3 linked regions of the Xenopus tropicalis genome follow. The protein of the gene in region 1 purifies or fractionates together with the protein of each later gene. This does not show direct contact. Links are inferred from orthologs where the notes say so. Each region holds a gene or a part of one and is shown in the gene's direction. Other genes may lie near its edges.

What was found. The genes of interacting proteins can lie anywhere in the genome.
Region 2: the proteins of bod1l1 (region 1) and setd1a purify together in Homo sapiens (affinity purification with mass spectrometry; 3 studies listed by BioGRID and IntAct, with this or other methods). This does not show direct contact. The link is inferred for Xenopus tropicalis from reciprocal best matches to the Homo sapiens genes BOD1L1 and SETD1A.
Region 3: the proteins of bod1l1 (region 1) and cxxc1 purify together in Homo sapiens (affinity purification with mass spectrometry; 5 studies listed by BioGRID and IntAct, counting the BioPlex papers as one, with this or other methods). This does not show direct contact. The link is inferred for Xenopus tropicalis from reciprocal best matches to the Homo sapiens genes BOD1L1 and CXXC1.

What each region holds. Positions count from the first base shown.
Region 1 is NC_030677.2:27,542,006-27,545,995, reverse strand, and holds part of bod1l1 (biorientation of chromosomes in cell division protein 1-like 1), read left to right. Parts: intron 1-1,107; coding exon 1,108-1,232; intron 1,233-2,131; coding exon 2,132-2,322; intron 2,323-2,952; coding exon 2,953-3,543; intron 3,544-3,990. UniProt on the Homo sapiens protein: Component of the fork protection machinery required to protect stalled/damaged replication forks from uncontrolled DNA2-dependent resection.
Region 2 is NC_030685.2:5,885,464-5,889,887, reverse strand, and holds the start of setd1a (histone-lysine N-methyltransferase SETD1A), read left to right. Parts: upstream 1-1,539; 5' UTR 1,540-1,706; coding exon 1,707-1,745; exon of another isoform or gene 1,746-1,869; intron 1,870-1,875; exon of another isoform or gene 1,876-2,080; intron 2,081-4,424. UniProt on the Homo sapiens protein: Histone methyltransferase that catalyzes methyl group transfer from S-adenosyl-L-methionine to the epsilon-amino group of 'Lys-4' of histone H3 (H3K4) via a non-processive mechanism.
Region 3 is NC_030684.2:1,147,429-1,152,214, forward strand, and holds the start of cxxc1 (CXXC-type zinc finger protein 1), read left to right. Parts: upstream 1-1,901; 5' UTR 1,902-2,020; coding exon 2,021-2,023; intron 2,024-4,786. UniProt on the Homo sapiens protein: Transcriptional activator that exhibits a unique DNA binding specificity for CpG unmethylated motifs with a preference for CpGG.

The sequences.
Region 1 (3,990 bases):
GTGCCACAACTCTTAAACGAATGCTGATGTTCCTATGAAAGTCCATACAAACACGTCAGTATTACAATAAGTTCTGTCTAAATATATCTCTTCAGCCATCACCTTTCATCCTTGACTGCAGTTGAGGACATGTTACTGCCTGTCTTAAGTGAATTATTCCTCATTAACACTGAATTGCTTTTTATAAACCCTCTTCAACTATTGTTCAACTAGCAACCTCAGGTACTTGAATAAAGGTGGCCATACACGTTAAGATCTACTCGCTTGGCGAGGTCGCCAAGCAAGCGGATCTTCTCCTGATATCTCCACCTACGGTTGGGCGATATCTGGAAAACTGTAGGGAGCAATGGGTGCAAGTCGGTTCATGGACCGCATCAACGAGCCGATGCGGTCCCAGATCCGACTAAATCTTTTAACCTGCCCAATCGATATCTGCCCAATTTCAGCCCAGATATCGGTCGGGCATGCCCCTCTTTCCTGCCCCTACACTGGCCGATAAGCTGCCGAATCGGTCCAAGGGACTGATATCGGCAGCTACAATTGGCCCGTGGATGGCCACCTTAAGCCTTTGGACCCTGACTTCCTCTGATTGTCTGACATTACATTGTCTGGCAGTACTGTGTACAAGTGCTTTATTTTTAAAAAGTTGCGCGTTTGTATGGCAGTCTATATAAGAGTGTAAAGAAGAACAAGGAATTATGGTAATCTGTGCTATAGGGTGAAAACACTTTACCCACTACTAGGAACACATGAATAAATATATGGATAATGTTAAAGGTGAAGAAGGACTGTTAGGAAGAGAAATTAATTGATGAGCTGAAACACTATCTGCCAATGGACACAATGGAGTTGGCAGCTTATCAACCACTGTATTGGGTCTTCAGATGAGCCAGACAGAAAATTGCTGAAAATTGGGCAGATGTCAATTGGGCAGGTTTGAAAGTCCCGTTGGGGCTAGGATAACCGCCTTCATTCCGTTATTGTGAGTCGTTTGGCTCAAGGGCTAAGAACATTCAATAAGTGCATAATTTATAATTAGCTGTGTAACGGCATAAACGACATAAACAGATTTTCCATTTTAAAACCGGTTGTGTTTTTTTTTTGTAGCCAGCGTATCAAAATTTGCGTCAGCGAGTTGATAACTTTGTCGCCAGTCACTTAGCAAGCCACACATGGAGTCCTCATCTAAACAAGAACCAGCTGAGGAACAACATCAGGCAGCAGGTGCTTAAGTAAGTAATAGATTTTAATAGCCATAAGGCAAAAGTTCCCCAGGACTGACCCACTACAGGAACCCAACTCTTTAGATGCTTGTCCCAGGCTGAAGGTCAGTTAGGTTAAATTCATAGTACACAACAGTTTGCTTTCCTGGATATTTTTGGAATTATGGTAAGATGATTGATGTGGAGTAACAGGGGGAAAATTTGCTCACTCACATTTAGATGCAGAGTACTTGACTAGATAGATAATGCATGCATACACTATGGATAATTAAATGGTAAAGTGTTAATTAATGGGGGTTGGTACCTTAGACCTAGGACTGGCACACCTTTTTTGCTGACAAGTGCACTGGTCCAGGTGTTTTCCATTAGGTAGTGCTCTGACATTTTTCCTAAAGTCCCAGTGATCCTCTGTACTGTCCCAAGGCCCATTTGGGAGAGTGCAGGGTATCACTGGTACTTCAATGGAAAAGTAACCAGGGCCAGTAGACCATTCAGTAAGTGGTGTGCTTCTGTGCAGTGGAAAACACTGGTTTGAATTATTAGTTATTTATTTGTAGGCAGTAGCTATGCACACGTGTGTGTGTGTGTGTGTGTGTGTTTTTGTCTCTCTCTCTAAAGGCAACACATGATAAGACCAAAGTTGAAGAACTATGGATTACATGCTGCATTATATTGTGTCCCATAGGCCAGCAAGATCTTTGCTCCTCAAGAGTCTTTTTATACAGTGCTCAAACTGGAAGTTAAATGTCCCATTGACATGAGCAAGTTTATCACGTTATATAGCTATCGTTACTTTCGATGGTTGTTCTTGTATACTTCATTACTTAGCAATATTTTTATTGTTTTCAGTTTCATGAAAAAAACAATTCTTCTGTTATTTACAATTCTTTTATTTGGTGCTTTGGCAGGTCTGGAATGCTAGAGTCTGGCATTGACAGAATTATTTCACAGGTTGTCGACCCAAAGATAAACCACTTATTCAGACCTCAGGTGGAAAAAGTTGTTAAAGAATATTTGGCCATGATGAATAATAAAGAGGATGGAAATGTAAATACAGAACAAAACGAGGAGCGATCAGAAGCCTCCATCTCTGTTCCTGGTATGTGTATGTCTGTAAGTACAGGTATAGGACCTGTTATATGGAATGCTCGAGACCTGGGTTTTCCAGACCATTCCATAATTTAGATCTACATACTTTAATTCAGGGCTGTCCAACTAGAGTCCTGTGGGCCTGATGTGGCCCTCCAAAGGGTTTTTATGGCCCCCCCCAGTCTAGTTGGTGGCTCTATAGATTTCATTGTATTACATTATAATTTTAATAGAATCAAGTCGTGCTATATGAGAAATAATCTGCACACAGATACATACATGCAAAAAGTTAGACGGCACTGCTTTGTCTCCTAAAAAAAAAATGGGTTTATTTAATGTTTCAATTATTTTGTCTCCTATATAGATCAAGTACAGGGTACTATTTTATTACAGAGAAAAAGGAAATACAATTTAAAATGTTGAATTATTTGATTAAAATGGAGATAAGCTTCCAGTGTTTTGGACCTTTCTGGATAATGGGTTTCCAGATAACTGATCACATACCTGTATTTTATATCAAATTAGTATCTGCACCTTTTTTTTTCTTAACCAGCCATGATTTAATTTGAAATTTTACAAATTTCTAAAAGTAGAAAAAAAATAAGTTTCCTAATAGTATCTGTTACACTTTCTGCTCAAGGTTCTCTACCAGCAGTTGGACCTAGCACCAATGTAGCAAGTGATGCAATGTCCATTTTGGAAACAATCAGTTCACTCAATCAAGAAGCAACTGCTGCTCGTGCCTTCATAGAAACTCCGAACAATAAAAACAGTGACAAAGTGAGCAAAAGAACAATTCAGCAAAGTTTTGATGCTACAGAAGAAAAGGATCGTACTTTAGAGGAAACTCAAGAGGTGGAAAAATCCATCCCTGATATGCTGGTTGCAGAAACAGAACCTGATATAAAGACAGAAGATTCCAATGATATTTCTTCCACTGTAGAAGCCTTTAAACAACCTGACGCAGTTGGCATCTCACAGAGCAAAGACATTCCAAATGAAAATGAGGAGCAAAAGCCAAAAGCTGTAGAGAGTGAGAAGAAAAATGAGGTCAGTGAAATAGCACAGAAGAAAGAGGATAAGAAGGAAGCAAAGACTGAAAAAAGAAATGAGTACCCCAAAAAGGGTGATGATGTTGTAAAGGTTAAGGAGGATAAGACGGTGAAAGAACGTGAGAACGAACCAGAAAAGAGCAGCAGTAAACAGAAGGCAACTAGCACCTTAAAAGAAGGTAGGATTTGTTTGGCTTCTCTGGCTTCCTCCCACACTCCAAAAACATACATGCTTCTTGTGTAAATGTTCTTTATATATTGCACTGACATATTACACTGGACTTTAAATATGACTATTTCACACAACAGATTTTCTGCTGTTTTTCATTGGGAGAGAGTTTTTCCATTCATTTTAATTGCAACCACCTGTCAATGTACCCACAGGGCAGATTCTGGTTTGAAAATGCACCCTGTTTGCACTGAGACGGGTGTTTATCATTAAAGGAGAAGGAAAGGCCAAATCACTAGGAGGTGCCCAATGTTAGGCACTCCCCAGTGATTGTAATTGCTCACCTGAAACCCCTGGCCAGTGCTCCTGTTAGAAAGAAACTGCACCAGCCCAGGGTAAATGCAGGCGAACAATCCATCCTTTCTTTCAGCAGCAAAAGCCGGCTTTTTTGGTCAAT
Region 2 (4,424 bases), on another chromosome or scaffold:
CTGTGGCTGCCCAATGTCACTATTCTATCCAAACCCTGACTGTGACCCAGTCTCCCCTCTGTGGCTGCCCAATGTCACTATTCTATCCAAACCCTGACTGTGACCCAATCTCCCCTCTGTGGCTGCCCAATGTCACTATTCTATCCAAACCCTGACTGTGACCCAGTCTCCCCTCTGTGGCTGCCCAATGTCACTATTCTATCCAAACCCTGACTGTGACCCAGTCCCCCCTCTGTGGCTGCACAATGTCACTATTCTATCCAAATTCTGAATTGTGACCCAGTCTCCCCTCTGTGGCCGCCCAATGTCACTATTCTACCCAAGTCCTGGCTGTGACCCAGTCTCCCCTCTGTTGCTGCCCAATGTCACTATTGTACCCAAGTCCTGACTGTGACCCAGTCTCCCCTCTGTGGCTGCCCAATGTCACTATTCTACCCAAGTCCTGGCTGTGACCCAGTATCCCCTCTGTTGCTGCCCAATGTCACTATTGTACCCAAGTCCTGACTGTGACCCAGTCTCCCCTCTGTGGCTGCCCAATGTCACTATTCTACCCAAGTCCTGACTGTGACCCAGTCTCCCCTCTGTGGCTGCCCAATGTCACTATTCTACCCAAGTCCTGACTGTGACTCAGTCTCCCCTCTGTGGCTGCCCAATGTCACTATTCTACCCAAGTCCTGGCTGTGACCCAGTCTCCCCTCTGTGGCTGCCCAATGTCACTATTCTACCCAAGTCCTGACTGTGACTCAGTCTCCCCTCTGTGGCTGCCCAATGTCACTATTCTACCCAAGTTCTGACTGTGACCCAGTCTCCCCTCTGTGGCTGCCCGATGTCACTATTCTACCCAAGTCCTGACTGTGACCCAGTCTCCCCTCTGTGGCTGCCCAATGTCACTATTCTACCCAAGTCCTGGCTGTGACCCAGTCTCCCCTCTGTGGCTGCCCAATGTCACTATTCTACCCAAGTCCTGACTGTGACTCAGTCTCCCCTCTGTGGCTGCCCAATGTCACTATTCTACCCAAGTCCTGACTGTGACCCAATCTCCCCTCTGTGGCTGCCCAATGTCACTATTCTATCCAAGTCCTGACTGTGACCCAGTCTCCCCTCTGTGGCTGCCCAATGTCACTATTCTATCCAAATTCTGAATTGTGACCCAATCTCCCCTCTGTGGCTGCCCAATGTCACTATTCTACCCAAGTCCTGACTGTGACCCAGTCTCCCCTCTGTGGCTGCCCAATGTCTCTATTCTATCCAAACCCTGACTGTGACCGAGCCTTTACTCTGTGGCCGCCCAATGTCCCCAGTTCGCAGACCATATGACCAGTGGGCAGGGATTTGGCCAGACTGTGAGAGGCGCTGACTTAGAGCCAATGGCGATTTGGGCAGCGCGGGTTGAACACAAAACCCCACACCACGTGTTCTCTCTAGCCTATAGCAGCTCCAGGCTGGTAACCGTCCTCCCGTAACCATAGAGTCGGACTATAGATCTGCATCCTTTTCTTTCCTGCGCTCCTTTCTATAACATAATCCCGCCTTTCCTCCCTCCTTATACTACGTCACTCAGCTTTCCTTCAGCGGTCGGCAGATTCCACATTTCTTAATCAGTAAAAGGGAAAATAAAAACCCACCCCTGCTGCTTTTATGTTATTAGTGGGTTACAAAGTGAGAAGCCGTGCTCCGTCCGGGGAAAAAATGGCTTCGCTTATTTTATGGTGTTTGTGTTGAAAGTGCCGCGTCGGAAAGTGGTGGTGAGGAAACCAGTCTGCGCTTTCAGTGGCTGCAGATTCCACTCTGCGCGGTGCGGACATAGGATTTTACTCAGCGCGTTTGTGAAGAAAACGAGACCGCTTTACGGCGGGAGAGGCAGAAAAGGCAAGAGGAATTAAATAGTCGGTGGGGAAGCCTGTGTGAGGCAAAGGGGGCAGGGCCGGGGCGAAAGCGGCAGAGCGGAAGGCAAGGCAGCGCCACCGGGAGGCAGCGAGAGAGGGATCCGGGGGAGAGACAGCTAGGGACACAGCGCGTCAGTCAGGTGAGAAGCAGGGAAATCAGCAGCGGAAATAAACACCGAGACACAGTGTGGAAGGTAACGGCGAGCGGCGGCCATGGCGGGGGAGGCCGGGAGTGAGGGGCTGAGGGCAGGGGCACAGGGGCTGCCCCGGAATGGGAACCTGGCGATGCGAGGGGCACAGGGGCACCCAGGGAACGGATACACTGCGCGGCTGCTTAGTGGGTAGGGCACACAGGGTATCCGGCCCCCCAGCATCCCGGGACCCCTGGGGGTGGGAAGGAGTAAATGGACAAAGGGCCACATGATACATTGTCAGTTCTGAGGTACTTTCATTTCGTACATCAGCTGGGGCCAACCTGCAGCCCCCCGGCTTTTACTTCCCTACTGCAGCCCCCCGGCTTCTGCTTCCCTACTGCAGCCCCCCGGCTTCTGCTTCCCTACTGCAGCCCCCCGGCTTCTGCTTCCCTACTGCAGCCCCCCGGCTTCTGCTTCCCTACTGCAGCCCCCCGGCTGTTACTTCCCTACTGCAGCCCCCCGGCTGTTACTTCCCTACTGCAGCCCCCCGGCTTTTACTTCCCTACTGCAGCCCCCCGGCTTCTGCTTCCCTACTGCAGCCCCCCGGCTTCTGCTTCCCTACTGCAGCCCCCCGGCTGTTACTTCCCTACTGCAGCCCCCCGGCTGTTACTTCCCTACTGCAGCCCCCCGGCTTTTGCTTCCCTACTGCAGCCCCCCGGCTTCTGCTTCCCTACTGCAGCCCCCCGGCTTCTGCTTCCCTACTGCAGCCCCCGGCTGTTACTTCCCTACTGCAGCCCCCCGGCTTTTACTTCCCTACTGCAGCCCCCCGGCTTCTGCTTCCCTACTGCAGCCCCCCGGCTGTTACTTCCCTACTGCAGCCCCCCGGCTTCTGCTTCCCTACTGCAGCCCCCCGGCTGTTGCTTCCCTACTGCAGCCCCCCGGCTGTTACTTCCCTACTGCAGCCCCCCGGCTTCTGCTTCCCTACTGCAGCCCCCCGGCTTCTGCTTCCCTACTGCAGCCCCCCGGCTTCTGCTTCCCTACTGCAGCCCCCCGGCTTCTGCTTCCCTACTGCAGCCCCCGGCTTCTGCTTCCCTACTGCAGCCCCCCGGCTTCTGCTTCCCTACTGCAGCCCCCCGGCTTCTGCTTCCCTACTGCAGCCCCCCGGCTTCTGCTTCCCTACTGCAGCCCCCCGGCTTCTGCTTCCCTACTGCAGCCCCCCGGCTTCTGCTTCCCTACTGCAGCCCCCCGGCTTCTGCTTCCCTACTGCAGCCCCCCGGCTGTTACTTCCCTACTGCAGCCCCCCGGCTGTTACTTCCCTACTGCAGCCCCCCGGCTGTTACTTCCCTACTGCAGCCCCCCGGCTGTTGCTTCCCTACTGCAGCCCCCCGGCTGTTGCTTCCCTACTGCAGCCCCCCGGCTGTTGCTTCCCTACTGCAGCCCCCCGGCTGTTGCTTCCCTACTGCAGCCCCCCGGCTGTTGCTTCCCTACTGCAGCCCCCCGGCTGTTGCTTCCCTACTGCAGCCCCCCGGCTGTTGCTTCCCTACTGCAGCCCCCGGCTGTTGCTTCCCTACTGCAGCCCCCCGGCTTCTGCTTCCCTACTGCAGCCCCCCGGCTTCTGCTTCCCTACTGCAGCCCCCGGCTTCTGCTTCCCTACTGCAGCCCCCCGGCTGTTACTTCCCTACTGCAGCCCCCCGGCTGTTACTTCCCTACTGCAGCCCCCCGGCTGTTGCTTCCCTACTGCAGCCCCCCGGCTGTTGCTTCCCTACTGCAGCCCCCCGGCTGTTGCTTCCCTACTGCAGCCCCCCCGGCTTCTGCTTTCCCTACTGCAGCCCCCCGGCTTCTGCTTCCCTACTGCAGCCCCCCGGCTTCTGCTTCCCTACTGCAGCCCCCCGGCTTCTGCTTCCCTACTGCAGCCCCCCGGCTTCTGCTTCCCTACTGCAGCCCCCCGGCTTCTGCTTCCCTACTGCAGCCCCCCGGCTGTTGCTTCCCTACTGCAGCCCCCCGGCTTCTGCTTCCCTACTGCAGCCCCCGGCTTCTGCTTCCCTACTGCAGCCCCCCGGCTTCTGCTTCCCTACTGCAGCCCCCCGGCTTCTGCTTCCCTACTGCAGCCCCCCGGCTTCTGCTTCCCTACTGCAGCCCCCCGGCTTCTGCTTCCCTACTGCAGCCCCCCGGCTGTTACTTCCCTACTGCAGCCCCCCGGCTGTTACTTCCCTACTGCAGCCCCCCGGCTGTTACTTCCCTACTGCAGCCCCCCGGCTGTTGCTTCACTACTATTCCCAACAGCCAACGAATTGCTGCTCATCCAAAGCTGGCTGGTGCAGGGTGGACTTTCCTTAATGATCTAATGCCCCCAAGGGGGCCCCAGGCTTGTCAGGGGCCCACTGTTCCCTGGGATACTGTGCTG
Region 3 (4,786 bases), on another chromosome or scaffold:
GTATTTATACATATGGGTAGGGGGTGCCATAGTGTTTCCCTTAGACAGTACAGTATGGGGGTACAGCTTATTGTGTGCCCAGAACATTCCCTCTCTGTATATTTGTATTTATACATATGGGTAGGGGGTGCCATAGTGTTTCCCTTAGACAGTACAGTATGGGGGTACAGCTTATTGTGTGCCCAGAACATTCCCTCTCTGTATATTTGTATTTATACATATGGGTAGGGGGTGCCATAGTGTTTCCCTTAGACAGTACAGTATGGGGGTACAGCTTATTGTGTGCCCAGAACATTCCCTCTCTGTATATTTGTATTTATACATATGGGTAGGGGGTGCCATAGTGTTTCCCTTAGACAGTACAGTATGGGGGTACAGCTTATTGTGTGCCCAGAACATTCCCTCTCTGTATATTTGTATTTATACATATGGGTAGGGGGTGCCATAGTGTTTCCCTTAGACAGTACAGTATGGGGGTACAGCTTATTGTGTGCCCAGAACATTCCCTCTCTGTATATTTGTATTTATACATATGGGTAGGGGGTGCCATAGTGTTTCCCTTAGACAGTACAGTATGGGGGTACAGGTTATTGTGTGCCCAGAACATTCCCTCTCTGTATATTTGTATTTATACATATGGGTAGGGGGTGCCATAGTGTTTCCCTTAGACAGTACAGTATGGGGGTACAGCTTATTGTGTGCCCAGAACATTCCCTCTCTGTATATTTGTATTTATACATATGGGTAGGGGGTGCCATAGTGTTTCCCTTAGACAGTACAGTATGGGGGTACAGCTTATTGTGTGCCCAGAACATTCCCTCTCTGTATATTTGTATTTATACATATGGGTAGGGGGTGCCATAGTGTTTCCCTTAGACAGTACAGTATGGGGGTACAGCTTATTGTGTGCCCAGAACATTCCCTCTCTGTATATTTGTATTTATACATATGGGTAGGGGGTGCCATAGTGTTTCCCTTAGACAGTACAGTATGGGGGTACAGCTTATTGTGTGCCCAGAACATTCCCTCTCTGTATATTTGTATTTATACATATGGGTAGGGGGTGCCATAGTGTTTCCCTTAGACAGTACAGTATGGGGGTACAGCTTATTGTGTGCCCAGAACATTCCTTCTCTGTATATTTGTATTTATACATATGGGTAGGGGGTGCCATAGTGTTTCCCTTAGACAGTACAGTATGGGGGGGGGGGCTGCATTACTCACACGCTCCCCAGTGACAGACACACTTACAGAGCCGCTGGGATTCAGTAATGAAGCAAACTCATGGCTTCGGCTCTAAAGCTGCCAGTAAAGCTGATTTACTTCCCCAGTTACTGGGGGGGGGGGGGGGGGGTCCCTAACCATTAAGCACATAACAAGGGGCTGCTAAATGGGAGGGAGGGGGGGCTGCTAAGCGCAATAATAACAGCGTTGGGCCCATATCCCGCCCCACTGGCGCTACTGCTACTGACTCAGCTTTGCTAATGCCCCGTGTATAACATACCCCCCCCCCCCCCAGCTCTCAGATTCTTACACAAAAGCCCCTCATTTCCCTGTGGAAAGATACACAGTTCCCCAAATGTAATTAGATAAGGGAATACCCCCCTCACTGAGGTACAAGTGTAACTAATCAGCTAAATGGGTCCCATTGGGGGAGTGAGTTTTGCAGGTTAAAGGGCAACTTCACCTTCAGTAGCTAAAAAAAATACCCAGAAATGTGTTCAAACTTCACAAAACCCGCCAAGTCTAGTAATGTGGGAGGGGCGTGTAGGGGGGGCGTGGCCACAGCGTCTCAATGTTGTACGGAATAGCCTCTCACTCTCAGCTCCTCCCCCTTCCCTCCGTGTCCCACAATCCCCTCTGAGCCGCCCCGGCCCCGCCCCCACACACACATTAACCCTCAGTTCCCCACTTCCCGCTCTCTCGCAGGTACTTCCGGCCGCAGCGCTGGTCACGGGGTGTGCGCGTCACGGAGAGGGACCCGGAAGCGGAAGTGGATGTTGTTGCTACGGGAGGAGAGATGGTGAGACAATATTATCCGATGCGCTGAGTGCGCTGTACCCGGGGATGGTGTGGGGGTGGGTTTGGGGGGGGCCCGGGAAGGGTTTGTGGGGGTCCCCTGGGGTGCGGGGGTATCGGGGTGGGGGGGGGAGTCCCCTCACATTGCTATTGGCTGTATCCAGCGCCTTAACCCTGTGTGTATCCCCTGTGTGTGTGTGTAGCCCCGCCCCCTGTGTGTATCCCCGCCCCTTGTGTGTAGCCCCGCCCCCTGTGTGTATTGTACTAATGGGCCCCACAGGTACAGGGGGTTATACTGTGTCACACTGGCACTGCCCCCCCAGCATTGTACTAATGGGCCCCACGGGTACAGGGGGTTATACTGTGTCACACTGGCACTGCCCCCCCAGCATTGTACTAATGGGCCCCACGGGTACAGGGGGTTATACTGTGTCACACTGGCACTGCCCCCCAGCATTGTACTAATGGGCCCCACGGGTACAGGGGGTTATACTGTGTCACACTGGCACTGCCCCCCCAGCATTGTACTAATGGGCCCCACGGGTACAGGGGGTTATACTGTGTCACACTGGCACTGCCCCCCCAGCATTGTACTAATGGGCCCCACGGGTACAGGGGGTTATACTGTGTCACACTGGCACTGCCCCCCCAGCATTGTACTAATGGGCCCCACGGGTACAGGGGGTTATACTGTGTCACACTGGCACTGCCCCCCAGCATTGTACTAATGGGCCCCACGGGTACAGGGGGTTATACTGTGTCACACTGGCACTGCCCCCCAGCATTGTACTAATGGGCCCCACGGGTACAGGGGGTTATACTGTGTCACACTGGCACTGCCCCCAGCATTGTACTAATGGGCCCCACGGGTACAGGGGGTTATACTGTGTCACACTGGCACTGCCCCCCAGCATTGTACTAATGGGCCCCACGGGTACAGGGGGTTATACTGTGTCACACTGGCACTGCCCCCCAGCATTGTACTAATGGGCCCCACGGGTACAGGGGGTTATACTGTGTCACACTGGCACTGCCCCCCAGCATTGTACTAATGGGCCCCACGGGTACAGGGGGTTATACTGTGTCACACTGGCACTGCCCCCAGCATTGTACTAATGGGCCCCACGGGTACAGGGGGTTATACTGTGTCACACTGGCACTGCCCCCCCAGCATTGTACTAATGGGCCCCACAGGTACAGGGGGTTATACTGTGTCACACTGGCACTGCCCCCCAGCATTGTACTAATGGGCCCCACGGGTACAGGGGGTTATACTGTGTCACACTGGCACTGCCCCCCCAGCATTGTACTAATGGGCCCCACGGGTACAGGGGGTTATACTGTGTCACACTGGCACTGCCCCCCAGCATTGTACTAATGGGCCCCACGGGTACAGGGGGTTATACTGTGTCACACTGGCACTGCCCCCCAGCATTGTACTAATGGGCCCCACGGGTACAGGGGTTATACTGTGTCACACTGGCACTGCCCCCCCAGCATTGTACTAATGGGCCCCACAGGTACAGGGGGTTATACTGTGTCACACTGGCACTGCCCCCCCAGCATTGTACTAATGGGCCCCACGGGTACAGGGGGTTATACTGTGTCACACTGGCACTGCCCCCCCAGCATTGTACTAATGGGCCCACGGGTACAGGGGGTTATACTGTGTCACACTGGCACTGCCCCCCAGCATTGTACTAATGGGCCCCACGGGTACAGGGGGTTATACTGTGTCACACTGGCACTGCCCCCCAGCATTGTACTAATGGGCCCCACGGGTACAGGGGGTTATACTGTGTCACACTGGCACTGCCCCCCAGCATTGTACTAATGGGCCCCACGGGTACAGGGGGTTATACTGTGTCACACTGGCACTGCCCCCCAGCATTGTACTAATGGGCCCCACAGGTACAGGGGGTTATACTGTGTCACACTGGCACTGCCCCCCAGCATTGTACTAATGGGCCCCACGGGTACAGGGGGTTATACTGTGTCACACTGGCACTGCCCCCCAGCATTGTACTAATGGGCCCCACGGGTACAGGGGGTTATACTGTGTCACACTGGCACTGCCCCCCAGCATTGTACTAATGGGCCCCACGGGTACAGGGGGTTATACTGTGTCACACTGGCACTGCCCCCCAGCATTGTACTAATGGGCCCCACAGGTACAGGGGGTTATACTGTGTCACACTGGCACTGCCCCCCAGCATTGTACTAATGGGCCCCACGGGTACAGGGGGTTATACTGTGTCACACTGGCACTGCCCCCCAGCATTGTACTAATGGGCCCCACAGGTACAGGGGGTTATACTGTGTCACACTGGCACTGCCCCCCCAGCATTGTACTAATGGGCCCCACGGGTACAGGGGGTTATACTGTGTCACACTGGCACTGCCCCCCAGCATTGTACTAATGGGCCTCACAGGTACAGGGGGTTATACTGTGTCACACTGGCACTGCCCCCCAGCATTGTACTAATGGGCCCCACGGGTACAGGGGGTTATACTGTGTCACACTGGCACTGCCCCCCCAGCATTGTACTAATGGGCCCCACAGGTACAGGGGGTTATACTGTGTCACACTGGCACTGCCCCCCAGCATTGTACTAATGGGCCCCACGGGTACAGGGGGTTATACTGTGTCACACTGGCACTGCCCCCCAGCATTGTACTAATGGGCCCCACGGGTACAGGGGGTTATACTGTGTCACACTGGCACTGCCCCCCCAGCATTGTACTAATGGGCCCCACGGGTACAGGG